Linked DNA regions of Macaca fascicularis. The protein of the gene in region 2 interacts with the protein of the main gene of each other region in a biochemical or structural test. Links are inferred from orthologs where the notes say so. Each region holds a gene or a part of one and is shown on either strand. Other genes may lie near its edges.

Evidence for each region.
Region 1: the proteins of UBC (region 2) and ZFAND6 form a complex in vitro, tested with the Homo sapiens proteins (6 studies listed by BioGRID, with this or other methods). The link is inferred for Macaca fascicularis from reciprocal best matches to the Homo sapiens genes UBC and ZFAND6.
Region 3: the proteins of UBC (region 2) and OTUD7A form a complex in vitro, tested with the Homo sapiens proteins (3 studies listed by BioGRID, with this or other methods). The link is inferred for Macaca fascicularis from reciprocal best matches to the Homo sapiens genes UBC and OTUD7A.
Region 4: the proteins of UBC (region 2) and ANKRD13A form a complex in vitro, tested with the Homo sapiens proteins (4 studies listed by BioGRID). The link is inferred for Macaca fascicularis from reciprocal best matches to the Homo sapiens genes UBC and ANKRD13A.
Region 5: the proteins of UBC (region 2) and RABGEF1 form a complex in vitro, tested with the Homo sapiens proteins (10 studies listed by BioGRID, with this or other methods). The link is inferred for Macaca fascicularis from reciprocal best matches to the Homo sapiens genes UBC and RABGEF1.
Region 6: the proteins of UBC (region 2) and TOM1L2 form a complex in vitro, tested with the Homo sapiens proteins (6 studies listed by BioGRID). The link is inferred for Macaca fascicularis from reciprocal best matches to the Homo sapiens genes UBC and TOM1L2.
Region 7: the proteins of UBC (region 2) and NBR1 form a complex in vitro, tested with the Homo sapiens proteins (8 studies listed by BioGRID and IntAct, with this or other methods). The link is inferred for Macaca fascicularis from reciprocal best matches to the Homo sapiens genes UBC and NBR1.

The regions. Positions count from the first base shown.
Region 1 is NC_088381.1:57,557,027-57,560,526, reverse strand, and holds part of ZFAND6 (AN1-type zinc finger protein 6), read right to left. Parts: intron 932-3,500; coding exon 818-931; intron 1-817. UniProt on the Homo sapiens protein: Involved in regulation of TNF-alpha induced NF-kappa-B activation and apoptosis. Involved in modulation of 'Lys-48'-linked polyubiquitination status of TRAF2 and decreases association of TRAF2 with RIPK1.
Region 2 is NC_088385.1:132,077,541-132,081,533, forward strand, and holds UBC (polyubiquitin-C), read right to left. Parts: upstream 2,801-3,993; 5' UTR 2,737-2,800; intron 1,903-2,736; 5' UTR 1,900-1,902; coding exon 298-1,899; 3' UTR 230-297; downstream 1-229.
Region 3 is NC_088381.1:6,700,595-6,704,094, reverse strand, and holds part of OTUD7A (OTU domain-containing protein 7A), read right to left. Parts: intron 3,404-3,500; coding exon 3,276-3,403; intron 2,514-3,275; coding exon 2,401-2,513; intron 1-2,400. UniProt on the Homo sapiens protein: Deubiquitinase, which cleaves 'Lys-11'-linked polyubiquitin chains. Might be required for PA28-20S proteasome assembly.
Region 4 is NC_088385.1:116,893,887-116,897,386, forward strand, and holds part of ANKRD13A (ankyrin repeat domain-containing protein 13A), read left to right. Parts: intron 1-576; coding exon 577-766; intron 767-3,500. UniProt on the Homo sapiens protein: Ubiquitin-binding protein that specifically recognizes and binds 'Lys-63'-linked ubiquitin. Does not bind 'Lys-48'-linked ubiquitin.
Region 5 is NC_088377.1:59,759,492-59,762,991, reverse strand, and holds part of RABGEF1 (rab5 GDP/GTP exchange factor), read left to right. Parts: intron 1-1,272; coding exon 1,273-1,439; intron 1,440-3,500. UniProt on the Homo sapiens protein: Rab effector protein acting as linker between gamma-adaptin, RAB4A or RAB5A. Involved in endocytic membrane fusion and membrane trafficking of recycling endosomes. Stimulates nucleotide exchange on RAB5A. Can act as a ubiquitin ligase.
Region 6 is NC_088390.1:17,971,930-17,975,429, forward strand, and holds part of TOM1L2 (TOM1-like protein 2), read right to left. Parts: intron 3,070-3,500; coding exon 3,021-3,069; intron 2,565-3,020; coding exon 2,441-2,564; intron 1-2,440. UniProt on the Homo sapiens protein: Acts as a MYO6/Myosin VI adapter protein that targets myosin VI to endocytic structures. May also play a role in recruiting clathrin to endosomes. May regulate growth factor-induced mitogenic signaling.
Region 7 is NC_088390.1:64,214,555-64,218,815, reverse strand, and holds the start of NBR1 (next to BRCA1 gene 1 protein), read right to left. Parts: upstream 2,801-4,261; 5' UTR 2,382-2,800; intron 2,123-2,381; exon of another isoform or gene 2,022-2,122; intron 1-2,021. UniProt on the Homo sapiens protein: Ubiquitin-binding autophagy adapter that participates in different processes including host defense or intracellular homeostasis.

The DNA.
Region 1 (3,500 bases), on a different chromosome or scaffold from region 2:
TTCTTTATTCCTGTTGGATTGCAGTACACAACACTCTTGTTCACGTATTATGTGCTATTTAGCAACATTCCCGTTTATGGTTCCTGCACATGCCCTATTCATTTTCTTCAAGTTATTCTTTCTGCCTGAAATGCCCCTATTTCCATCAGTTATAGGTCCTACTCACTGTTCAAGACACGCTGAAACATTCTGCCTTCATGATCCTTTCCTTGCTGGGCCTCTAAGAACCACCATTTTTAATTGTAAATTAGTTACTCTCATCCCTGAATTCCCAGAGCAATGTGACTGCACTTCATGTACTTTCTTTGCTAAATGCTTTTGAACAATTCTTTCTCCTGCCCACCACCATCTGCATCTGATAGCTATGTTAATACTGATTACTTACTGTGTGGCAGCACTGGGCTGGGCTAACTGCTTACATGTCTTAACTCACTGAACCCACACAACAATGTATGGTTAGCCCTATTTTATATACAGAAAGTACTTCCAGTTTACTAAGTACTTCAAAATATTCTCTCCTTGAAAGCAAGAGACACATCTTTGACCTTTCACAGAATCTGGCACACTAACCTTACTTGTCTAATATTTCTAAATTCAACTGAAATAAACTTTAAAAAGAAAAAAAAAAGCTATTCATTTCACTTTTAGGTGTATAATCAAAGCTATTTTTATTTCCTTAAGAAAATTCAGAAGCTGAAGTATAGCCAGTATTAGCTCTCAAGGGAAAAGGAACAATCTTAATTGAAGTCAATAATAGTAAGCTATGCATTACTATAAAACAGTATCTTAATTTTAAACATTTGATTTAGGTCCTTACCAGTAAGTCCCACTTTCTTCCTGCACATGAAACAGCGATTCTTTTTTTGTTTTGGTTTTTCAAGAGACTTGCTTTGCTCTTCAGATGGCTGCTGTGCCGTGTCTGATACTGAAGCTGACAAAAATAGGAAGGTGGCAAAATTTAATTATTCTGTAAGATTTTGCTATTCCTCATCCCACCCTCCCTAGTCTATTATTTAGAGGATACTGAGGAATTAATTAGCACAGAAAACTAGTCATTTAATTACAAAGTTGTTTACAAAAATAGGACCCCTTTTTGTTAAATTTATGTATAGAAAATGCATAAATAATGTATTTCTATCTAGAAAATAATCTAGAACATGTAATGATATATTGACAGTGGTTTTATAGACTTTCTTCTTTAGGTTTTAACTGTATTTTCTTTTTTTTTTTTTTTTTTTTTTTTTTTTTTTGTTGAGACAGTCTCGCTTTGTCGCCCAGACTGGAGTGCAGTGGCCGGATCTCAGCTCACTGCAAGCTCCGCCTCCCGGGTTCACGCCATTCTCCTGCCTCAGCCTCCCGAGTAGCTGGGACTACAGACGCCCGCCACCTCGCCCGGCTAGGTTTTTGTATTTTTTAGTAGAGACGGGGTTTCACCGTGTCAGCCAGGATGGTCTCGATCTCCTGACCTTGTGATCCGCCCGTCTCGGCCTCCCAAAGTGCTGGGATTACAGGCTTGAGCCACCGCGCCCGGCTTTAACTGTATTTTCTAATTTTTCTAGTAACTACATATTTAATCAATAAAAGGCACATAAACAAATACTACTTGAATATTCTAAGGGAGTGTGCAAGAAAATAGCCATATGCATGGGTCAGAATGACATAGGTTTCTCAGAGAACAAGGAGGGAAAAGGTGAAACCAAGATTCTGTGGAATATTAAGTATGTTTAAAGTTCCCAGAATGTTTCACATAAAGCACTTTAAATGTTTGAAATAAGGCAAATTGAAGCAAAGAAGCTTTAAAATGTTGTAAGATAATAAGTTGATGCATTTATGTATGGAAACCAAAGCCAGATTTACCAAGATTCGGGTTAAATTACTACTCTGAAATCTTAACATGACTCCCTCCCGTTGCTAACCACTCTGGCCCTCATAAATGCTGCTGCGAGTCAGAATCACGTAATATGACCTTGCAGACATGTCATTTTGCTCTAAAATGGTGGAATTTGCCATGGATCAAATTCTTAACCTCTTCAGTTTCATCACCAGCCAGACTTTCCCCAGGAATCCACTCTCCATTAATCTACACTGGGAATATGCCATGTACCTTTGCTCACACTTCTTATAATCTATTCCAAAGGGTTTCCTTTTTTTCCCCCATTTGATCTAGGTCCTCTTCTTTTTCAAGATCAAGGTCAAATACCCTTTCCTTGTCTCAATTCTCTGTAGCTTCTCACTCTGATTTTCCTTAACACCTTTTCCAAACACCGGGTACCTCACGAGTTCCCTCTTCAATCCATGCTTCACACATTGCACGCAATCATCTGCCTTAAGTGAAAATCTAATGGTGTTCCCTCTGATGTTTAGAATTCTTCAATGGCTCCCAACTAACTCCCAGGATAAAGCCCAGAGGTCTTTCATGATTTTCTTCATCCTTCTTTCTCTGGCCTCATCTCTCACTATTTCTCAACGGTACCCCATGATTTAGCCATACGGAAGTACTTGCAGTTTCCCTGGACATATCAAACTCTCTTTTGCCTCTGGGCTCTTGGGTAAGTTATGCTTTCCATACAAAATACTCTTTCTATGCCCCTTCTGTCCCTCTTTTTACCAGGCTAACTCTTAACTTGTTTTTCTTGTTTAAGCTTATATAATCAGCTCTTCCTCCACTGCCTCTCCCACAACTTTGGGGTGGGAAACCCTACTACGTATAGCACTTTTCGTATTAAAATTCCCTCACTGGCTCAACCTGGTTTAACTTCGAATTCTTTGAGGGGAGACATCTGTCCTATTTATCCCATTATCAGTGCCTATCCCAGTGTTTCCAACCACATAGCAGGCACTCAACAATAAGGATCTGTTGAACTGAATTACTTACCTATATGTGCCTCATTTCCCCAACTACACTGTAAGGCCGTTGAGAAGAAGGATGGTTACCTTATTCCCCATCTGAATCTCCAGTCCCATCACAGTGAACTACACATAATACACGCTCAGACATTTACTGTGATTCTAACCTGCTTATGTTAACATCACTATCTCATATTTTAACAAAAGATGACAAAAGGCAAATACCACAAACAAGTGAATGTGCGCTAATGACAAACTCTATAGCATGTTACTCCACTCAGACATGCTGAAATCAGACAGGAGACAGTTCTAGTAATACCCTGTGAACATATTATTTTTGAAACAGAATACAGACACATCAAACCTTTTATTTTCAATGAATAAATATTCCTAGAATGTAAGCTCCAAGAGGGCAGGGGCTGAATGTCTTGTTTAATGTTTATCCCCAGCTCCTACAACAGTATCAGATAAGCCTATCTGGCTATACATACAGACTAAAAAACAGCTTAATTTGCAATCAGAAATGAAACTATTGTATTTATTGGTTTTGAAATATATAAGCCATAATATCTAACCTGTTCTCCAAAAACAGTCTGATATTCAAAAACATCCATTTAATGGCAGTAACACTATCACAAGATTATAGTTTTAAC
Region 2 (3,993 bases):
ACACCTGCCTTTTTGTATTTGCAGTAGACATAGGGTTTCACCACATTGGCCAATCTGGTCTTGAAGCCGGCTTTTATTTGCACCCACCTTCTACAGTTCGTACTATATTAAGGTCAACCCCTTCACTGACATTTCACTGTTACCACAGCAACATTTGTAAACTGAAAACCTTGATCCCCTTCACCCAGTCTAATGCAAAATAACCTTAACTTTTAAAAAACCACACCAGTTGGGAATGCAACAACTTTATTGAAAGAAAAGTGCAATGAAATTTGTTGAAACCTTAAAAGGGGAAACTTAGACACCCCCCCTCAAGCGCAGGACCAAGTGCAGAGTGGACTCTTTCTGGATGTTGTAGTCAGACAGGGTGCGTCCATCTTCCAGCTGTTTCCCAGCAAAGATCAACCTCTGCTGGTCAGGAGGGATGCCTTCCTTGTCCTGGATCTTTGCCTTGACATTCTCAATGGTGTCGCTGGGCTCCACCTCAAGGGTGATGGTCTTGCCAGTGAGGGTCTTCACGAAGATCTGCATCCCACCTCTGAGGCGGAGCACCAGGTGCAGGGTGGACTCTTTCTGGATGTTGTAGTCAGACAGGGTGCGCCCATCTTCCAGCTGTTTCCCAGCAAAGATCAACCTCTGCTGGTCAGGAGGGATGCCTTCCTTGTCCTGGATCTTTGCCTTGACATTCTCAATGGTGTCGCTGGGCTCCACCTCAAGGGTGATGGTCTTGCCAGTGAGGGTCTTCACGAAGATCTGCATCCCACCTCTGAGGCGGAGCACCAGGTGCAGGGTGGACTCTTTCTGGATGTTGTAGTCAGACAGGGTGCGCCCATCTTCCAGCTGTTTCCCAGCAAAGATCAACCTCTGCTGGTCAGGAGGGATGCCTTCCTTATCCTGGATCTTTGCCTTGACATTCTCAATGGTGTCGCTGGGCTCCACCTCGAGGGTGATGGTCTTGCCAGTCAGGGTCTTCACGAATATCTGCATCCCACCTCTGAGACGGAGCACGAGGTGCAGGGTGGACTCTTTCTGGATGTTGTAGTCAGACAGGGTGCGCCCATCTTCCAGCTGCTTTCCAGCAAAGATCAACCTCTGCTGGTCAGGAGGGATGCCCTCCTTGTCCTGGATCTTTGCCTTGACATTTTCAATAGTGTCACTGGGCTCCACCTCAAGGGTGATGGTCTTGCCAGTCAGGGTCTTCACGAAGATCTGCATCCCACCTCTGAGACGGAGCACCAGGTGCAGGGTGGACTCTTTCTGGATGTTGTAGTCAGACAGGGTGCGCCCATCTTCCAGCTGTTTCCCAGCAAAGATCAACCTCTGCTGGTCAGGAGGGATGCCTTCCTTGTCCTGGATCTTTGCCTTGACATTCTCGATGGTGTCACTGGGCTCCACCTCGAGGGTGATGGTCTTGCCAGTGAGGGTCTTCACGAAGATCTGCATCCCACCTCTGAGGCGGAGCACCAGGTGCAGGGTAGACTCTTTCTGGATGTTGTAGTCAGACAGGGTGCGTCCATCTTCCAGCTGTTTCCCGGCAAAGATCAACCTCTGCTGGTCAGGAGGGATGCCTTCCTTGTCTTGGATCTTTGCTTTGACGTTCTCGATGGTGTCACTGGGCTCGACCTCGAGGGTGATGGTCTTGCCAGTCAGGGTCTTCACGAAGATCTGCATCCCACCTCTGAGGCGGAGCACGAGGTGCAGGGTGGACTCTTTCTGGATGTTGTAGTCAGACAGGGTGCGCCCATCTTCCAGCTGCTTTCCGGCAAAGATCAGCCTCTGCTGGTCGGGAGGAATGCCTTCCTTATCTTGGATCTTTGCCTTGACATTCTCAATGGTGTCACTGGGCTCAACCTCAAGGGTGATGGTCTTGCCAGTCAGGGTCTTCACGAAGATCTGCATTGTCTAACAAAAGAGCCAAAAACCACCAGCATTTAGCAGACAATGTACTAATCTTCCTAATACTTAAACTATATGTTATATTCACCCAAATGATTACAATTTAAAAGATACCTAAGAAACTTCACAAAATACACTCGCCAACCCCGAACGCATAGTTTAAAACTCAGACTTCAGCTACTTAAGAAAATAGGAACATAGAACTGACCAAAGAAACTGACGCCTCACTTATCCCTCCCCTCACCAGAGGTCAGGCCCCTGTCGACTCAGGAGGGCCTACCCTAGGCCCCAACCCTGCGTCCTGCGACGAAGAAAAGCCTACTGCACACCTACCGGCAGGTGGCCCCACCCCACATTATGAGCCAACAGAACGGATGACGTCACGACACTGCGAGGGCGCGCGCTCCTCAAGCTACGGGTGCACTGCCAAGTGGCACCGCCATTAACTGCCGCCCCCGCAACAGACGACAAAGCGAGTTCTCCGGTCAGTGACAGACTTCACATCAAGGTCCCCAAATGGTGCCCCAGCCCACCTCACCAGAATAAGAGCGTTCCCGCATTAGCGAAAACCTCAAGGCCTTGGGTTCTTGCCGCAAACCATGCCCCCCACCTTGTTTCAACAACCTCACAGCCCGCCTCACAACCGTCTTCCATTCAAGAGCCGGGAACAGCCGCCATTTTGCTGCGCTCCCCTCCCACCCGCTGCTCGGGGCACCTTGCTCGCGGACCCAGACTACAGCCCTCGGCGGCCTCTCATCCCGCGGCGTCGGCCCCCCTCCATCCCACCGAGCGGCCCAGCGGCCACGAAAGCCATGGCCGGCCCAGCAGCCCTCTGCTCACCAAGTGGCGATGACACCGACACACAAACAAGAACTGCGATCCCACTCCCGGCTGCGACGGAACTAGCTGCGCCACACCCGGCGCGTCCTTATATAGTCATCGGCGTTCACCGCCCCAAGGAAATTCCTCCGCAGAATCGCCGAGAAGGGACTACTTTTGCTCGCCCGTTCCGGTCTCTGGAAAGAAAACCAGTGCCCTACAGTCACCCAAGTCCCGTCCCAAAATGTCCTCCTGCTGAGACTGGGGTTCTGGGACTGAGTCTGGTGGGCAGCGGGCCGCCGTCCTGAGCGCCCAAGCGGAAGAATCAGGGCGCTCGCTGCGCCCTGCGGCCATGACGTGGAGGCGCTCGCCGAGAGGAGGGGGCGTCCGCGGGAGGCGCCAAAACCCGGTGCGGACTCTGCGGCGCCAGGAGCGGGTGGGCAGCCCGCGTTCCTCAGCCGCGGCCCCTCCCCTCAGCCCCCGCGGTCCCCTCGGGTCGCGAACCCCGCGTTCGGCGGACGTGGGGCGCGGACGGAGCGCCTCCCGCAGAGTCGGGGTCTCCCTCCCCTCCCTCGCGACCCGCCCTGGCCCACCCCGCGAGACGGACGGGTCTTTATTTTTGGGTCACATTTGAGATAATGACGGGGCTTTCTTTGCTCAGCCCCCCTCAGTCTTCCTGAGCTTCCCAGCCCGGTCGCGGGGGCTCCCCGGTGCCGCGCCCCTCCCCCGCTGCGGGCCGCGGGACAAGGACAATGACTCAGCAGATCTCAGGCCGGGCGCGGCCCTAAAGCTGGGGAACGCTCGAGAACTTTCGAGGGGAGACACTGCAGAGGAGCTGGTGTCCAGGTTAAATTTGGAAAAGTGAGGGGGAAACCCCACACAGTTTTTTTTTTTTAGCTGGAACCCAAGGCTGAGGGAACGACATCCTTCTAGACTGTTCTTTCACCTTCGTGTACATTCTGAGGGCCGGGTATGGAAAGGTCCTACTTGGTTTCAACAGGGAGGCCTAGAAATTTCTCTGGTTTCAATGGGTACGATTATTGTAATCAGGATCCATTCAATAATCGGACCCATTTAAACCGAAGGTTTTAAAAGACAGGAATAGAATCCCAGCCCTATTTCAGGGCAGGGTAGGGTGTCAAATATGAAATGTAATTCTACAGGGCAATTCTATTTTGATAAAAGAAGTGGGGAGAAAAGAATCACCAGCCAGGTTTTTAAATTTTTACCACAACCTATTTTGTGATCCTTATGTGTCATTTCTTCAGTATATTTTTA
Region 3 (3,500 bases), on a different chromosome or scaffold from region 2:
CTATTCCCAGGAAAATGTGCATTTTATGCCTGGTTCCATAGGCCTCCCTCCTTGACTGGCCATGCAAAGGTTCCAGGTAACCCAAGGAGGCATCTGGCTACAGAAGCAACTCTCTTAGATAGATTCCTATTGCATGTGTTCTGTCCTCTTCTGAGGTGTTTTTTTTGTTTGTTTGTTTTTCCTTTTTCTTTCTCCACTGGAAACACCTGTTGCTGAAACCCTAGAAGTGCCTCCTGCATCATTGGCACAAGATTCCGACCTGAGCATCAATGCTTTTGTGGGGACCAGGTGGCTGCGTCCTCACTCCCATCACCATCTGAAGCCCAGAGTGGTGGTTTCATTTGCAGGCTGATGTGTTGCCTGAGGTTCTACAGACTCTGCTGTATTTGAGGGATTTCGTTAGGGCTGTGGAGCCTGGTCAAAAGAGGCTCTACAATGATCAGACCACATTTTGACTTTTTGGCTCCTCCATTTATCATTTTTGTGGTCTTGGAACAGTTGTCTAATCCCATTGAGGCTCGGTTTTCCAATCTGTGGAAGGCGTACTGGAGGCCTGTGAGATGGGGTTTGAAAGGAGGAGATAGAGGACCTAGCACGGGTCCCTCTTATGGTCTCCCTGACCCCACTCCACCCTACACAACCCGTGCTCACCTCCTTCCTTCTGTTTCCCCAACACCACCCATACCTTCCCACCTCACCTCTCCATTCTTTTCTGTTGGGGTCACTCCCATCCACCCTTGGTTGTTTAGTTTCCCCTCTCTGGCCATTCCCCGAGTTCTTCCTTCTCTTTTGTGATGTGGCAACCAGAACTGTGGCTTCCAGGAGGAGGGGACCAGGCTATCCTACTAAATGGGACAATGTCCGGGCCATTTTGGATATTCCTAAAGGGACCTAATCCTTTTGTTAGATTACAGTTGATCACTCAGACTCTGTGGGAGATAGGGACAGACACCAAGTGGTCCCTATGTCCCCATTAGCATCTGAATCCCTCGGGCCCCAGGGAGCAGGCAGCAGGGGACCAGGCTGTGGCCTTAGGAGTCAGATGGGTTCACCAGCCATGGGACCTTGGGGGAAGCTCCTCCTGGATGGGGGTACTCAGGAGACGTGTATGTGATGATCACCTGTGATTACTGTTATCATTGCTGCTGTCTTTCCCCACTCCTCCCCGTCCCTGGCAGAGACACCTGGACTGGATCCAGTCTGCCAGCATGTATCAGGCATCTGCCCTGTGGCAGGAGGGAGAGAGGCAACTGTGAAAACGATGTGGAGGAATGCTTAAGACTCATCACAGGCAGGACCTGGGAGGCGTGCAGAGGAAGAGCAGTTTTACAGTTGACCGAGACTTCAGAATGCTTGTCCTCAAATGTCCTACCAAGACAGGCTGTTGGTACAGAGATACCATAGCCTTAAAACATGGAGGAAGGCTGTGCCAGCGTATGTGGGTTTCTAACGATCTCATCTGTAAACATGGTCTCAGACGCCACCGCTGCTGCTGCAGCTCTGTGGGAGCCTCTTTTCCAGCCAGGGCCTCCAGGGAGAGCTGACCCATGAGGCACTAGGCCCTGCCTTGGTGGGTGGATGAGGACCCAGGTGCCTGCTGCAGGGCCCATGAGCCTGAGGGCAGCCTGGAGCTGCATGCTCCTTCCGTGGGTCTCCCTGGTGTTACTGCTCACACTTTCTCATGTTTGGCTGAGACCTTTTCTAGGAGCAACACCTTTGCTTTCAGGTTCCAGAGAATACGAACTGAAGAATAAGCCATGATCAAGGCTCTATGGCTGCCCCGTTGGTCTGGCCGCACTCTTCATTCCACGCTAGAACATCCAAGGTGTTTCTGTAGGAACAAGCTAGTCCTAAACACGCACAGACGTGGAGCCTTTTTGCTGGGAACACATATAATATCCACGGAGCTCATCTGGGAAACAGCAGGCTAGCTTAATGAGCTTCTGCTTTCAGGGTGACTTCTTGAAGCCACGAATTAATTAGTTGGGGAGAAAATCCAAACTTCAGAGCCAGGTCCGCGTGCTGGCAATGTGTGGGAACGCTCACCATCGCGTGTGACCTCCAGAGGCCAGCTGTGCCCTGAGGGCGCACACCTCACCTGCTCTGCATAACAACGTTCAAGGAAAGTGGCCTGGAGGCAGCTCATGTGAGCTCACCTCTGCCTGCATAGTGCATCTGGGGGCTGCGTACCCTTCCACCAGCACCCGGCAGGGGCCAGCCATCACCCACAGTCCTTCTGTGCATCCTTGTCTTGAAGCTAATGCTGGAAAGCTGGAATCTTTCTGTCTTCCACAGCATGAGGGTCCCACATTCCCCCCGTGCCATCCACCCATGCTGTGTGTAGCCCTGGGTGGCCTGGAGCTGGAGGGGACTTCTGGGAAGAGCAGGGGCAGAACTTACCCCCCGCCTGTGCCGCCGTTCTTGCTGAAGTGTGTGCGCGGCTCACTGGAGGCCAGCTTCAGCAGCTCCGTCCACTCCCGCTCCCACTCCTCCTCCGTGTACACCAGCCCTGACTGGCAGAGGGGAACTGGCTCAGAGGGGGGCGGGCCACAGCTGCGCTGCCCTCCTCCTCTCACCCTCCCAACCCAGACCAGCCTCACTGGGACCCAGGCCAGGCACATCTATAGGTAGCTACCAACTACACTAACTGCACCCTCTTGGCCACCTTTGCTATGCACACTATATTTTCAAAAGCTCCAAGCTCTAATTCCAGAGCTGTTGGGAATCTGCCCACCAACAAGGGTCATTCTCAGGGGCTGGGGATGACTGAGCATTAACCTGTGCATGCACCTAACTGTGGCTGGCCATTACAAAGTTTAAAGGGATAATGGATCAACTGTAGTCAGAAAGCAGGCAGATTCTTCTAGAAGAGCAAGGTCCTCATGTTTACCATGCTTGGGGACAATTGGGAATCCCTTTGGACTGACCTCACACACAGGGGCTAGAGCCATGGGCTGCACCTGACAGCAGGCGGCCATATATATAATTCATCAGCCAAGCCAGGATGCTTTTGGGAATGAAGGTAGGCAGCTTTCATAATCATGCCTTAAGGAAACACAAGTGGACGCATAGTTGCTATCTGCCGGGACTCTGCTATTTCAACAGGCTCCTCCTTCATGGGCTTAAAAGCAGGAGACTTTCCTGATCCCAGGGACTGTTTCTGCCTCCCCTCATAAGACAGTCTGGGGTCTAGGGACCACGCTCTGGACTTGACCATGGCCCGAGGCGACACCTGACCTGGGTCCCGGCCTCCGGCCATGCCAGTGGATACCAACCTCCTTATTCTGCTGCGTCTGCTGCCACCTCCACCTCCGCTTCAGGGCTTCCCTCTCGGCTCCCGTCCTCATCATGGTATAGAGAGCTTTCCGTAACACCAGGTCCCGGTCGTGAAACCCCCACATTCCTGGAGCCAGGAGGCCATGGAGAACACAGGAGAGAAAGGACGTGAGGAAAAGACAAGCCAGAGGTGATGCAAACTACCATGACCCACTGGGAGGGCC
Region 4 (3,500 bases), about 15 Mb from region 2:
TGCTTTCACATTCATGTGCCTTTTCTGTCTGATCTTTTCTAGGGCATGTTTTTTGGTTATTCTTATTAATTATTCAGCTCTCCATCCCTGTCTTTGTTCTTGTCTGGCTAGTTCTCCTTCATGTGTCCTTTACCACCCAGAAGTTACCCTTGTGATGTGTCTGCTTCACTTTCCTGAGCCTTTGAGCACAGGCATTCTGTGTGTATCTCTGTATAACCCTCCATAATCAGGCATGAGAAATGGCATTGCTCACCCAATGTTGTGCATACATAATTTCTATGAATTCTGTAATAATATGTTTTATAAAGGACATTGATGGAATATAGTGCTAATAAGAATACAAATTATTTAAAAATTCCGCATCTTTGGGGAAGATGGCTCAGAGCTTCCTATGTATGGTGGAAAGCTGGTCAGATAGGTGCAAATAGGTAGTCAATAATCAGTATACTGTACGTTTTATCAGATAGCACCTGGGAGGACACACATGAAAGATGATGCATTTTAACATACGAAGCTTCCTTGTTTTTTGCATCTTCCCTGCTTTGTGCTTAGTTATGTCTTTGTTTCCATTAATAGACAACTGGGCAGAGTTGATGGAAGTCAACCACGACGACAAAGTAGTCACCACCGAACACTTCGACCTTTCCCAAGAAATGGAGCGCCTCACTCTGGACTTGATGAAGCCAAAAAGCAGGGAAGTTGAGAGGCGGCTTACAAGCCCAGTCATTAACACCAGCCTCGATACTAAAAATATTGCTTTTGAAAGGTACAAATTTAGACTCTAAATTTTAAGGTCTAATCCCCATGCTGCCATCTTGAGTGACATGTATGTATGAATTGGAAATTATGGATGGATTGGGTTTTTTCTAATATGACATAATAAACACTAGTGGGTTTTAAGATTGATCTCTAACCAATAGAAATTGTAGCTGACACTCGACACCATCCATCATTTTTATAGCACATTAGTTAAGTCTTCTAAGACTTAACCAACATGAAGAATATGAATAAATGTCTTCTTTTTCTTTTATGTGCCCTTTCTAGTGGCTTTTACTTGAATCTTATTTTTGTCTTGATGTTTATGGATCCACAACACTCAGTCCCAGACCACGGAGCTTGGAGTTTCTGGAGGTTAGAATTGACCCAGTACTGAGTTCAGTTGTACTGATATTGGTCAGTCAAATTCACACTTACTATATAGTTAAATGTTCGTTTGGTTTTTTTTTTTTTAACCCACCTGTGAGGTTTAATGGTTTAGAGCAAGAATCTGGAGGGGATTTAGTTCTGTTCCAGACTCATAAAGAATTCTCCAGAGAGGTCTGTGCCTTGGTTAATCCAGATGAGAACACCATCACTGGTCATGTGCCTCTGGGCCACATGGAGGGCTTAGAGGGCCTTTGAGTAGAGGCTGTCAAAGCTGTTTGCCTGTTTCTACAGTGGAGAACACTGACCCGATGGAGTCCTACGAGCACTGATGGTATTTGCCTAGGATGTCACATCCAGCTTTCTGCAAGTCAAAGTAGCTTAGCCTGAGAAAATGGACACTATTATCCTGATAGTATTTGCCTAGGATGCCACATCCGGCTCTCTGCAGCCTAAGTAGCTTAGCCTGAGAAAATGGACACTATTATCCTGGACTTAGGCCTTCTTTTCTCTTGATGAATATAACAACTGTCCTCTCATTATATTTTTCTTTTCTTCTTTTTTCTAATATAAAATTGGTTAGTAAATTTGTTTAGTCAAGCATAAAGCTTGTTAAGTATCCTTTTCTTCTAATTTAGATTGAGCGGTGGAATTAGGACATCTGTCCAGGGCTGTTGCTAGGGCAGGAGGGTAGCATCCCTGGAGGCAGGGTCAGTCCTCTTCTGCCAGCCTCCTTGCACCAGCCTGGCCAGTTGACATTCGCTGTCTTTTGGGGACAGCAAAATTTAGGGACTGACTGGATTTCCCTTGGAGGATTGTGGAAAGACATTTCCAGGCTTCCGTGTACCCCTCTGCAGGCAGGGAGGGCCCCTTCAGCTTAGGGCTCTGTTTGTAACCCCAGAAGGCAGAGGAGGCTGCCTTTTCTGCCACTGTTCATCTGTAGGCATGAGAGGGGGAGGAGCTGAGTGCCATCCACAGGGCTCCTAAATAACTGTGTGACTTTGGGCAAGTGGCCTCATCTCTCCAGTTTTGTTTCCTTAGCTGAAAGAAATAATGGAGTGAATCTGGAGATGAAGTCTCCAAAGTCCGGGACTCTTAAAATGTCTTGAGAAGAGACATTGTTCCTCATATTGTTCAACAGCAGAGTTGCCAGAGTCATTGTTTGTTGAAGTGTGATTTATGAAGAGAGCGTGACAATTCCTGGCTGTTACCCCACTGAGTGTAAATGGGAAATGATAGCATATTCCATTTGTACTGAGGACTAAGGCACATTTTTGTATTTTTGCGCCCACAGGGTTTTCTTCTTTTTTTTTTTTTTTGAGAAGGAGTCTAGCTCTGTCGCCCAGGCTGCAGTGCAGTGGCGCGATCTTGGCTCACTGCAAGCTCCACCTCCTGGGTTCACGCCATTCTCCTGCCTCAGCCTCCGGAGTAGCTGGGACTACAGGCACCCGCCACCACACCTGGCTAATTTTTTTGTATTTTTAGTAGAGGCGGGGTTTCACCGTGTTAACCAGGATGGTCTTGATCTCCTGACCTCGTGATCCGCCATCTCGGCCTCCCAAAGTGCTGGGATTACAGGTGTGAGCCACCGTGCCCAGCCCCAGAGCCCACAGGGTTTTCAGAGTGCTCAAGCTAACTCTCTTGCAACTGACAGTGTGTTGTTGAGAGAATTTTTGGAAGATAGCTGCTTTGTTTTAATGGGGCTCAGAATTAAATGTGTGCTTGTCATGCATTGAGCAAGAATTGAGCCAATCCTTAGAATTGATACCACCTACAAAAAGAATATAGCTGCTTTTGAATGTGAGGTTTGTTGGTACAAAGAGTGTGTGAATTTACTTCTGATCAGAGGTGTGAGTATTCATTTGATTGAATTTGGAAGGTGTGGCCTTCTCTCATTTTCTTTTCTTTCTTTTTTTTCTTTTTTTTTTTTGAGATGGCTTCTCGCTCTGTCGCCCAGCCTGGAGTGCAATGGCATGATCTCGGCTCACTGCAACCTCCGCCTCCCGGGTTCAAGCAATTCTCATACCTCAGTCTCCTGAGGAGGTGGGATTACAGGCACCCTCCTTTGTGCCCAGCTAATTTTTGTATTTTCCTAGAGATGGGGTTTCGCCATGTTGGCCAGGCTGGTATTGAACTCCTGACCTCAGGTGACCCGACTACTTTGGCCTCCCAAAGTTCTGGGATTACAGGCATGAGCCACCACACCCAGCCCCCTCTCTCATTTTTTGATGGTCACTTTTGTCCACTTTTTTCTAACCTGTTACTCAGAGCTTATGTGGGCAAATTAATACCCTGCCCTGATGAATGTTTGGCCTGCAGTATATACACTGTGGTTGCAGTTTGAATTTTTCCCTTCT
Region 5 (3,500 bases), on a different chromosome or scaffold from region 2:
AAACCTTTGTAATATACTCTTACTTCTTGTCCCTGTCTCTAGTTTCTCTACCCTTCAAGTTGTTCACACAGCTACCTGCATGATCTTTCTAAAGCACAGATCTGACAACGATAACTTCTTGGATTTACAGTTTTTCTTTCTTTTTTTTTTTTTTTTGAGACGGAGTCTCACGCTGTTGCCCAGGCTGGAGTGCAGTGGCGCGATCTTGGCTCACTGCAAGCTCCGCCTCCCGGGTTCCCGCCATTCTCCTGCCTCAGCCTCCTGAGTAGCTGGGACTACAGGCGCCCGCCACCGCGCCCGGCTAATTTTTTGTATTTTTAGTAGAGACGGGGTTTCACTGTGGTCTCGATCTCCTGACCTCGTGATCCGCCCGCCTCGGCCTCCCAAAGTGCTGGGATTACAGGCTTGAGCCACCGCGCCCGGCCGGATTTACAGTTTTTCTTGCTTCCCCACCACATGATGAAATCCAGAATGTGGGCTTAGCAATCAAGATTCCTTACCCTCTGGTGCCTTCCTGTGTATCCAGCATCACCATTCATTACACACCCAGTGCTCTGGCTACATTCAGCTTGTTGTGAAGCAAACCACAGGTTTGCACATTTGTAGTTCCTCCTTCTTGGAATATCCTTTCACTTAGAATACTATTCGGCCTTATTAGTCAGGCGTGGTGGTGTGCGCCTGTAGTCTCAATAACTTGGAAGGCTGAGGCGTGAGAATCGCTTGAACTCAGGAGGCAGAGGTTGTAATGAGCCGAGATCGTACCATCTCACCCCAGCCTGGGCGATGGAGTGACACTGTGTCTCAAAAACAACCCAAAAAAAAGGATCCTATTTATCCTTTAAGACCCAGCCCAAACATCAGTGTTGTAAGGCCCCAACAGACTCCCCCAGCAGATTGAGTTGTTCTTTCCTGTGTTCTCACAGCACTCAATTTTTACTCTCTAATGTAGCAGCTGTCCCATTATGTAGCAGTTGTTTACTTACCTTTTTCTCTGTTCCAGCCTTGAGCTTGTTAGGGAAAAGGAGTAGACTTGATTTCTTTCATGTAGCCCTAGAGCAATTGCTGAATGAGCATGAGAAGATCCCATTTGAAATCTGTAGTGCATGAAGAGCAGTCCATCCTGTAGCTATGTGAGACCTCAGGCTGATTTAGTATATTTAGTCTCTAGTTCTAAAATCTTGAGATCCTCCTGAATTAGTGGAGTAATAACCTTCAGATAAAGAGAAACCTTAGAGAATATCTAGATCATTCTAATCCTTTCTTGAATTGCAGACTCCAGCGGGAGGAAGAAGAGGCCTTTGCCAGCAGTCAGAGCAGCCAAGGGGCCCAATCCCTCACATTCTCCAAGTTTGAAGAAAAGAAAACCAACGAGAAGACCCGCAAGGTTACCACAGTGAAGAAATTCTTCAGTGCGTCTTCCAGGGTCGGATCAAAGAAGGGTAATGTTCTGATACTCTTTTTTTCTTCTCTGCCTGAGTGAGACACAGAGTAGATCCACAATGCTCACAGGCTCAGGTTGTAATTTCTGTCAACTTTTTGAGAACATCAGCTCAGATTTGAGACTGAAAGTGGGTTTGAGGGTCAGACAATATATGAAACCAATACTCTCTTTGGTTGAAAGACATTGTGTTTTAGAGAAATTTGTTTATAGGAGGAATAAAGAGAATTGAAATAGGTAGTTTTGTTTATGAAAGTCATCCCCATCCAAATGACTGTCTCTTTGGATGTTTTGTTTTTTTGTGTCTTTATTTGTGGATCCTGGTTTGTTCTGTGGTGTAATACCCTCACTGTTCACAGCTTGTCAGAAATGGTGATTTCTAGGCTTGAAAGTCATCTGAGAGAGATTTTCTGCTCGAGAGCTTATTTGAGAGACAACTTGTGTCTTGAGAAAGTGTATTGAGAAAATATAGGAAAAGGCCCACGTTGGGCTCCTGGGGGGATGAGAGTGAGCTGTAGTAGCTATTTTCCAGTGCATGGGTTTGTATGTAGGTGATCATATTCACCCTGCTTCTTAAAATGCCATGTAACCAGCAAGAGGATTGTCACGTAAGTCACAGTTGTTCTACGATTGAGCAGCCTAGCCAGTTGAAGTGGCCCAACATGAAGCAGGAAAGAATCTTTGTTGTGAGGCCTCGGTCTCTGAAAATGTATGTTGTTACTCAGAGTTATGCAGTCAGCGTGAAATAATGAGGGAGACTGGGAACCACCACTGATGCTGTCAGAAGACCTGTTCTCTGGGAGCCCCCTCACTTGCTCCCCGGTTCCTGCCCTGGGGTAATTGTAATGAGGTCTTCTCTCCTGGAGGCAACGGAATGAAAAATAAGACAGTGTTACCCCTTAAGATCCTTGCCGGTCTTCTAGGTTTTGTGACTTTTGCTGTTTCCTTTTGTTTTATTAAAAGGAAATATTGCTTATAACCAAAAACACGCTTCTCTTTAAGACATGGATACCAGGCCTGGTGCGGCAGCTCAAGCCTATAATCTCAGCACTTTGGGAGGCCAGGACAGATGGATTTCCTGAGCTCAGGAGTTTTTGAGACCAGCCTGGGCAACATAAAACCCCGTCTCTACAAAAAATAGAAAACCCCGTCTCTACAAAAAATAGAAAAATCATCCAGGCACAGTGGCATATGCCTGTAGTCCCAGCTGAGGCCAGGAGGCTAAGGCAGGAGAATCATTTGAACCCAGGAGGTGGAGGTTGCAGTGAGCCAAAATGGTGCCATTGCACTCCAGCCTGGGTGACAGAGCAAGATCCTGTCTAAAAAAAGGAAAGAAAAGAAAAAAGATGGATTATATGATGAATTTGAAGTTGTTTCTTGGTTGGCTGCCAGTTGTAGCAATTTTGTCTCTATGAAAAACGAGCAAAAAAATTAGTTCCTGCCAGAGATTAAATAAGAATGTATTGGGCTCATGATTTATTTATTAGGAGGTGGAATAGACAGATGGTTAGTAAGGTGACTTTGGAATCACCCCTGGTTTGAGTCCTAACTTTGTCATTTACCAGCTTTGTGACCCTGGGTGGACTAACGACTCCGAGTCCTGTCAACAGTGAGGGACAGTAATACCTACCAGAGGCATGTGATGAGGGTTCAGTGAGTTAATGCGCGTTAAGAGCTTAGCACAGTGCCCGACACACACAGTAGATTTCCAGTAAGTGTTAGCTATTTTAAAATGGAAGTTGTTCTTCTGATAGAATAATCTTGCAGGGAGCACAAAGGCATTTACTATTAAGACTACTCATTCCTATTTAGCTTAAGGTCTGTTTCTTGATGATATGTAGTGAAATAAGTATTTATAGCAGATAAAATAATTTTAAAAATTATAAAATTGGCTGGGCGCAGTGGCTCAAGCCTGTAATCCCAGCACTTTGGGAGGCCGAGACGGGCGGATCACAAGGTCAGGAGATCGAGACCATCCTGGCGAACACAGTGAAACTCCGTCTCTACTAAAAAAAATACAAAAAACTAGCCGGGCGAGGTGGCGGGCGCCTGTAGTCCCAGC
Region 6 (3,500 bases), on a different chromosome or scaffold from region 2:
TTTTTTGAGACGGAGTCTTGCTCTGTCACCCAGGCTGGAGTGCAGTGGCCAGATCTCGGCTCACTGCAAGCTCTGCCTCCCGGGTTCAGGCCATTCTTCTGCCTCAGCCTCCCGAGTAGCTGGGACTACAGGCGCCCGCCACCTCGCCCGGCTAGTTTTTTGTGTTTTTTTTTGTTTGTTTGTTTGTTTTTTTTTTGAGACGGAGTCTCACTGTGTCGCCCAGGCTGGAGTGCAGTGGCCGGATCTCAGCTCACTGCAAGCTCTGCCTCCCGGGTTTTTACGCCATTCTCCTGCCTCAGCCTCCCGAGTAGCCGGGACTACAGGCGCCCGCCACCTCGCCCGGCTAGTTTTTTGTATTTTTTAGTAGAGACGGGGTTTCACGGTGTTAGCCAGGATGGTCTCGATCTCCTGACCTCATGATCCACCCGTCTCGGCCTCCCAAAGTGCTGGGATTACAGGCTTGAGCCACCGCACCCGGCCGAGAAATATTTTTTAAAAAGGAAAGCAGAAAACAAGACAGAGGAAAGAATTTTGAGGGCTGTGCTTATTCTTTCAATGTTATAATTTCATTTGTTATAAATTGGTATCATTCAGTATAACCAATGCGCTAGAGTCATATACACACTTTGAATGTACAAACTAAATGAACTGTGGAAAGTAGAAAGTGGTGAGTTTCTTTTAAGTTCCAGACAATGGACTGCTTTAGGCTGATGGTACAGTTCAAGGAGAGCAAATATTTCAGTGCTGCTACCTCCTGTTTCCAAGCCCTCTGTAGATATCAACAATCAATCACAGACTTTTCTTTTTTTTTTTTTTGAGACGGAGTCTCGCTCTGTCGCTCGGGCTGGAGTGCAGTGGCCGGATCTCAGCTCACTGCAAGCTCCGCCTCCCGGGTTCACGCTATTCTCCTGCCTCAGCCTCCCGAGTAGCTGGGACTACAGGCGCCCGCCACGTCGCCCGGCTAGTTTTTTTTTTTTTTTTGTATTTTTTAGTAGAGACGGGGTTTCACCGTGTTAGCCAGGATGGTCTCGATCTCCTGACCTCGTGATCCGCCCGTCTCGGCCTCCCAAAGTGCTGGGATTACAGGCTTGAGCCACCGCGCCCGGCCAATCACAGACTTTTCTAAGCCCTGATGTGGCTTCAGCATCCTCCTCAAACCTGTGTTCCAAGAAGCCAGTGAGCTGAAACCTATCTGCCCTCCTTGACCTAGTTAATATTGATTGTTTGGTTTTTTTTGTTTTTTTGTTTTTTTGTTTTTTTTTTTTGAGACGGAGTCTCACGCTGTTGCCCAGGCTGGAGTGCAGTGGCGCGATCTCGGCTCACTGCAAGCTCCGCCTCCTGGGTTCACGCCATTCTCCTGCCTCAGCCTCCTGAGTAGCTAGGACTATAGGCGCCCGCCACCGCGCCCGGCTAATTTTTTGTATTTTTAGTAGAGACGGGGTTTCACTGTGGTCTCGATCTCCTGACCTTGTGATCCGCCCGCCTCGCCCTCCCAAAGTGCTGGGATTACAGGCTTGAGCCACCGCGCCCGGCTTTGTTTTGTTTTTGAGATGGAGTCGTCCCCCAGGCTGGAGTGCAATGGCGCGATCTCAGCTCACTGCAACCTCAGCCTCCGGGGTTCAAGCAATTCTCCTGCCTCAGCCGCCCAAGTAGCTGGGACTACAGGTACCCACCACTAAGTCTGGCTAATTTTTTTGTATCTTCAGTAGAGACAGGGTTTCACTACTTTGGCCAAGCTGGTCTCGAACTCCTGGCCTCAAGTGACCCACCAACCTCAGCCTCCCAAAATGCTGGGATTATAAGCCCGGGCTTGACCTAGTTAATACTGAAAAGGAAATTACTTCAATCATAGAGAATGTTCCATATAAAACATGGCAGGTGACCTTTCTTTTCTTTTTTTTTTTTTTGAGACAGTGTCTTGCTCTGTCGCCCAGGCTGGAGTACAATGACGCGCGATCTCAGCTCACTGCAACCTCCACCTCCCAGGCTCAAGCAATTCTCCTGCCTCAGCCTTCCAAGTAGTTGGAATTGCAGGCACTCACCATGCCCAGCTAATTTTTGTATTTTTACTAGAGACTGGTTTCGCCACGTTGGTCAGGCTGGTCTCAAACTCCTGACCTCAGGTGATCCACCCACCTCGGCCTCCCATAGTGCTGGGATTACAGGTATGAGCCGCCACACCCGGCCGTGACCTTTCTTTAATTCCTTGAAATTTCCCCCATCCCTGCTTTCCAACACAGATTTTAAACTTCAAATTTAGGGGAAAAAAAGGTATGCATTGAAGGTAAGGTGGTACAACTGGCTAGGACTCAGGAATACACTTTCACATGTATTCCCAAAAGACTCTCTTTGGGTCTTCCAAGAAAGAAAGAGAGGTAGCCTGCAAGGGAGGCCAGTGGTAGGAAGTAAGTAGGCCCTTTTGTCCCTATGAGACACTCACCCAAGCCTGCAAGCTGGGAGGAGAGGGAAGATGGGGGCGCTGTGTTCCCCACCATCGGGCTCACCACGGCTGGAGACCCTGGCCCCAGGTCTATTAAGTTGTCTTCAGTCACTTCGTTCAGTACCTGTCAGAATGTGAGATTGGTCATGAGCCCCAGAACCCTGGAGTCAGGCTCTGAGGTAGAAGCTAGCAAGGCAACTGTGCAGGGTTCTGAGAAGAAAAGCATCGGCACTGCTCCAGTACAGAAGCAAGGTCACTTTCCCCATCTGCCTTCCGGGTCCATGGTGGCCCTTGATGTCAGTGAGCCCTGCCCACTGCCTCTTCCCCCTCCCCAGTAGAAGGAGGGGTTGCTGAGTCAACAGTGACTGTCCTGGGAGCTACAGACTTAAGAGCTTCCTTGCCACCCTCCCATCAGGGGTGCCTGCTAGCTCTGCCCTAGTATCCCATCAACCAAAGCTTGCTCTTCAATTTCCCAAATATTTCAACCCCAGTTAGAAAAACTGGAGGTCTCTCCAACCTCCAAAACGTGGAGGGGTAGGTCTGGCCTCAGGAGATGAGAGGATTCTGAAGGAATACTTACTCCATTACTGGCATTTTGAACCGATCGGCCAGACCTGTATCGTTCGAACCTAACGGGGGAAGGGAAAGCAGAAGTAAGGAGAGAGGATGCCTGTGATATGGGCCTGTGGGGTGCTCACTAGTCCTATGAAGAACCTCTGGGACCAAGACCAGCCAGTCCTAGTTGGGGGCTAGGGAGTGAAACCATATATCAACTCTGCCACGGCTTCCTCTGTGTGTGTGGCTCCCCCTGAGAGGATCAGCCTCTCACCCAGAACCCTGAATGGGCATCAGAAAGGGGTGGTGGCTGGCCCATCATGGAGGTCATTGTGAGTGTCCCCAGCCTCTCCTCACATACCTGGGCCCAGAGAGCTCCTCTTGTCCCTGGAGGGAGGATGGCTTAACCACCTTACCTTGGAGCTCTCCAATGTTTACAACGTCAGGCAGTAGCTGCAGACTCCCTACTTCACAGGGCTGTGTTGAGAAGCGCCCAGCTAGTGTT
Region 7 (4,261 bases), on a different chromosome or scaffold from region 2:
GCACAGTGGCTCATGTCTGTAATCCCAGCACTTTGGGAAGCAGAGGCAGGCAGATCGTTTGAGTCCAGCAGTTTGAGACCAGCCTAGCCAACATAGTGAAACCTCATCTCTACAAAAATACAAAAATTAGCTGTGTGTAGTGGCGCAGGTCTGTAATCCCAGCTACTCAGGAGGCTGAGGCAGGAGAATTGCTTGAACCTGGGAGGCAAGATTGCAGTGAGCCAAGCTCATGTCACTGCACTTCCGCCTGGGTGATAGAGCTAGACTCTGTCTCAAAAATAAAATAAAATAAAAAACTGGCTAGGTGTGGTGGCTGATGCTGGTGATCCTAGCACTTAGGGAGGCTGAGGCAGAAGGATCATGAGCCTAGGAGTTCCAAGACCAGCCTGGGCAACAAAGCCAGACTCCATCTCCTTAAAAAAATTAAGTTCAATTAAACATTCTAAAAGATAATAAACCAGTCTTTAGAACCATAAACCTGTAGTGTTTTCCACAATGTAACGCACTGCCCGGTAAAACACTCCAATTAAGACTGTCATTTAAAGGACCCTGAACTCTGTCAAGATCAGGCACTTTTTTGAAACCCTAAGACAATTATCCCCCAATTTTCTCCATTCTTTGTTTCTACCAAGAACCAAGTTCACCAGCAAAATAATACTAGTCTCTTAACAACAATCCTGCTGACATCTAGTATTCATTCATACGACATGTAATTATTGGGGTCTTTAAAATTTGAACAGAACCTTTGTCAATTCCCCAAGACCTTAGGCAAAAAATCAGGGAAACGAAGTAACTCTGTCTGCCAGAAGTGGATATTCTGAAACATCACTTTCCAGCTTCAAGAAACACACTTCCCTGCTTGTGAAGGAAATGAATCTTCCTCTCTTTTTCTCAAATTACACAATTGGAAATCAATTTAGATACTCTGGAGCTCCTCCAGCTAGTGGGCCAACTAAGAGAAAACAGGAAGTCAGAGATTCTAGCTTAGCTGGATCATATCCAGGTCTTCATAAGGAACTCTCTTCCGCTGACATGTAAAAAAATTCTTTCAGCAAGAGCGTTAATCTTGAACGTGTGTAAACACCAAAGCTATGGTTAACCCTATCTCACCCTTAGGTCTAAAGCCAGTATAGTCAGATAGCTGGGTCCTAGGCCTTCAGCTTTCATAACTGGCATTATTGTAAGTCCACGCCACTGACTCACCTTTGCTTGGCACGAGTTAACTTTTCCTCCACGTCGATTTTTTTTTCACCCTCAACAAAATCCCTTTAATGAAACAGACCTGGCAACCTGAGCTTTGATTTCTGTCTCCACCAGAGGTCTGTACAAGCCAAGTTATCCAAGCTTTAAAATGTGTGATTTGAGGCTGGGAGTGGTGGCTCATGCCTGTAATACCAGCACTTTGGAAGGCCGAGGCAGGAGGATCGCTTGAGCTCAGGAGTTCACGACCAGCCTGGGCTGGTCTTTCTCTGAGAAAGCAAGACTCTGTCTCAAAAAAAAAAAAAAAAAAAAAGTGTGCTCTAAAAGCTGGGTGTTTGACAAAAAGGAAAAACAGTGCCTTTCCAAAACCGAAGGTCCCTAACCAAGGAGATCTCTTTAAGGTCTCGAAAAAAGGAGGATGGAATGAAAAGGATGTGTAAGTAGTGTCATTTTTTAACTTGCAGAGTTCATCCTAGTCTTCCAGCTATCGTTTCATAGCACTCAATGTTCCCAAGACAGTGTCACCACCCCGACTTTCTCTCGTTTTCTTTGCCCAGGCCCTCATTCCACTGGGGAGTCGCGGCCTTCCATAGGTAGAAGCCGATGTTCTGAACCACGGACTCTCCAACTCTCCGGCGCTTTTCGCCCACTCGGTCCCTCTGAACACGAAGGGCTCTCTCATCCTGTCACTAAAAACATTAACTGTCCCGAGACACGGAAAAAGTCGCCCCTCTTCTTTGCAGGATTCCTCCCTTGAACTTCCCCAAACCCTCTCAGTGTGACGTGACCCCACCCCTAAGTAACCTCAGCCGCTTCCTTACCAGCTTCCCGCCCCCGGGGGGCGCCTGCCGTAGGCCAAGGCAAGGACCGTCCGCTGCCAGCTCTGCCGCTATCCCTGTGGGGTGAATCTAACATGGCGGATAAAGACAGTAACTAGTCCCCTGTTTCGCCGAGTTTTCGCCAAGATGATTGGCTCTTACCACTTGTCCCTCAAAACGACCACCCCATCGATTGGTGGAGATTGCGTCGACGGGGCGGGGCAGAAGAAACCTGAAGCCGCACAACAATAACAAACATTGGGGCCGAGGGGCGGAACTACGAGTGCGCAGACGTGAGCCAGAGCGGATTTCCCCTTCCCTAGGCAAATTCGGCGCCTATTGCGTCCCCCGCAGGTCACTGACCTTACAGGACGACTTGCCCAAGACTCGTGGGGCTGGATGGGAATTGTAGTCTTTCTAGGAGTTGTCGGTATCTCTTTGGCCTAGTCTCTGCTCTCAAGATACGAAAACATAACAACACTCCAATCCACAACTGTTGACATGTATAAGCGCGCGGAGGTCTCCAATCTATCCACTGGATTTCCGTGAGAATTGTGCCCGCTTCGGTATTGGATGTTCCTCTCCATAAGACTACAGTTTCCAAGGAACAGCGTGGCGAAGGCCTTTCATTCCGCAACGCATGCTAGAAATAGTAGTTCTTTCCCTCCACCCCCAACAATCCTTTTATTTACCTAAACTGGAGACCTCCATTAGGGCGGAAAGAGTGGGGGAATGGGACCTCTTCCTACGACTGCTTTGAACACTATCTTACACTCATATTCAGGCCTCGGGTAGCGATTCTGATCTTTGTACAGCGATTACTGTGACGTAATAAGTCGCAACTGGAAGCGTAAAGGCGAGAGGGCGGGCGCTTTATGGCAAACTCAGGTAGAATTCTTCCTCTTCCGTCTCTTTCTTTTTACGTCACCCGGGGCAGACTGGGTGGCCAATCCAGAGCCCCGAGAGACGATAGGCTCTTTCTGTCCCGCCCTTCCTCTGTGTCTTGATTTCCTATTCTGAGAGGCTGTTGCTCAGCGGTTTCCGTGGCAACGGTAAAGCGTGGGAATTACAGGTAAATTAAAACTGTGGAACCCCTTTCCTCGCTGCCGCCAAGGTGCTCGGTCCTTCCGAGGAAGTTAAGGCCGCGTTGGGGTGGGGCCCTCACCTCTTCCGGCAACTAGCACCCCGTCTGGCGGCCCCAGCCCCACACTCGCCCGCGCCATGGCCTACGTCTCCGAGCTCGCTTGCATCTACTCTGCCTTCATTCTGCCCGACGATGAGGTGACCGTCACGGAGAGTAAGATCAATGCCCTCATTTAAGCAGCCGGTGTAAATGTTGAACATTTTTGGCCTGGCTTGTTTGCAAAGCCCCTGGCCAACGTCAACACTGGGAGCCTCATCTGCAATGTAGGAAAAACAAAAACGTGACTGAGCGGCGTGAGCTCGCTGAGACTTTCTGGACGGGGGACAGGCCGTGGGGTTTCTCAGATAACTGGGCCCCTGGGCTCAGGAGGCCTGCACCCTCTGCTCTGGGTAAAGGTAGAAGAGCCCCGGAAAAGGGACAGGGGCCCAAGAGATGCTCCGGGGGACAGGCGGGGGAGAGTGAACTTCCGAAGCAGGCAGATGGGTATTCTTTAGGCGGGGTGGGGGGCGCGGAACCTGAGAGGCGTAAGGAGTTGTGAACCCCCTGGGGAAGGGGGCAATTTGTAGGTCGCGAGGGAAGCACTAAGGATCAGGTAGGGGGCACCGTGTGTCCGAGGGGGAATCCTCGGGATAGGAACTGAAATGTGCCTTGAGGGGGACACCATGTGTATAAGAACATCAGCTGGTTGCCGGGGACGGTGCCTCATGCCTGTAATCCCAGCACTTTGAGAGGCCAAGGCGGACGGATCACGAGGTCAGGAGTTCGAGACCAGCCTGACCAACATGGTGAAACCCCGTCTCTACTAAAAATACAAAAATTACCCGGGCGTGGTGGTGCGCGCCAGCTACTCAGGAGGCTGAGGCAGGAGAATCGCTTGAACCAGGGAAGCGGAGGTTGCGGTGAGCCTAGATCGCGCCATTGCACTCCAGCCTCGGCGACAGAACAACACTGTCTCAAAAACAAACAAACAAACACCGGCTAGTATTTATGAGAGGATGGGCCCTTGCGGAAGAAGAGGTGCTAGGAATATGTCTGGGACGGGGAGGAGACAGGATTTTGTGGGAGGGAGAACTTAAGAACTGGATCCATTTGCACTATT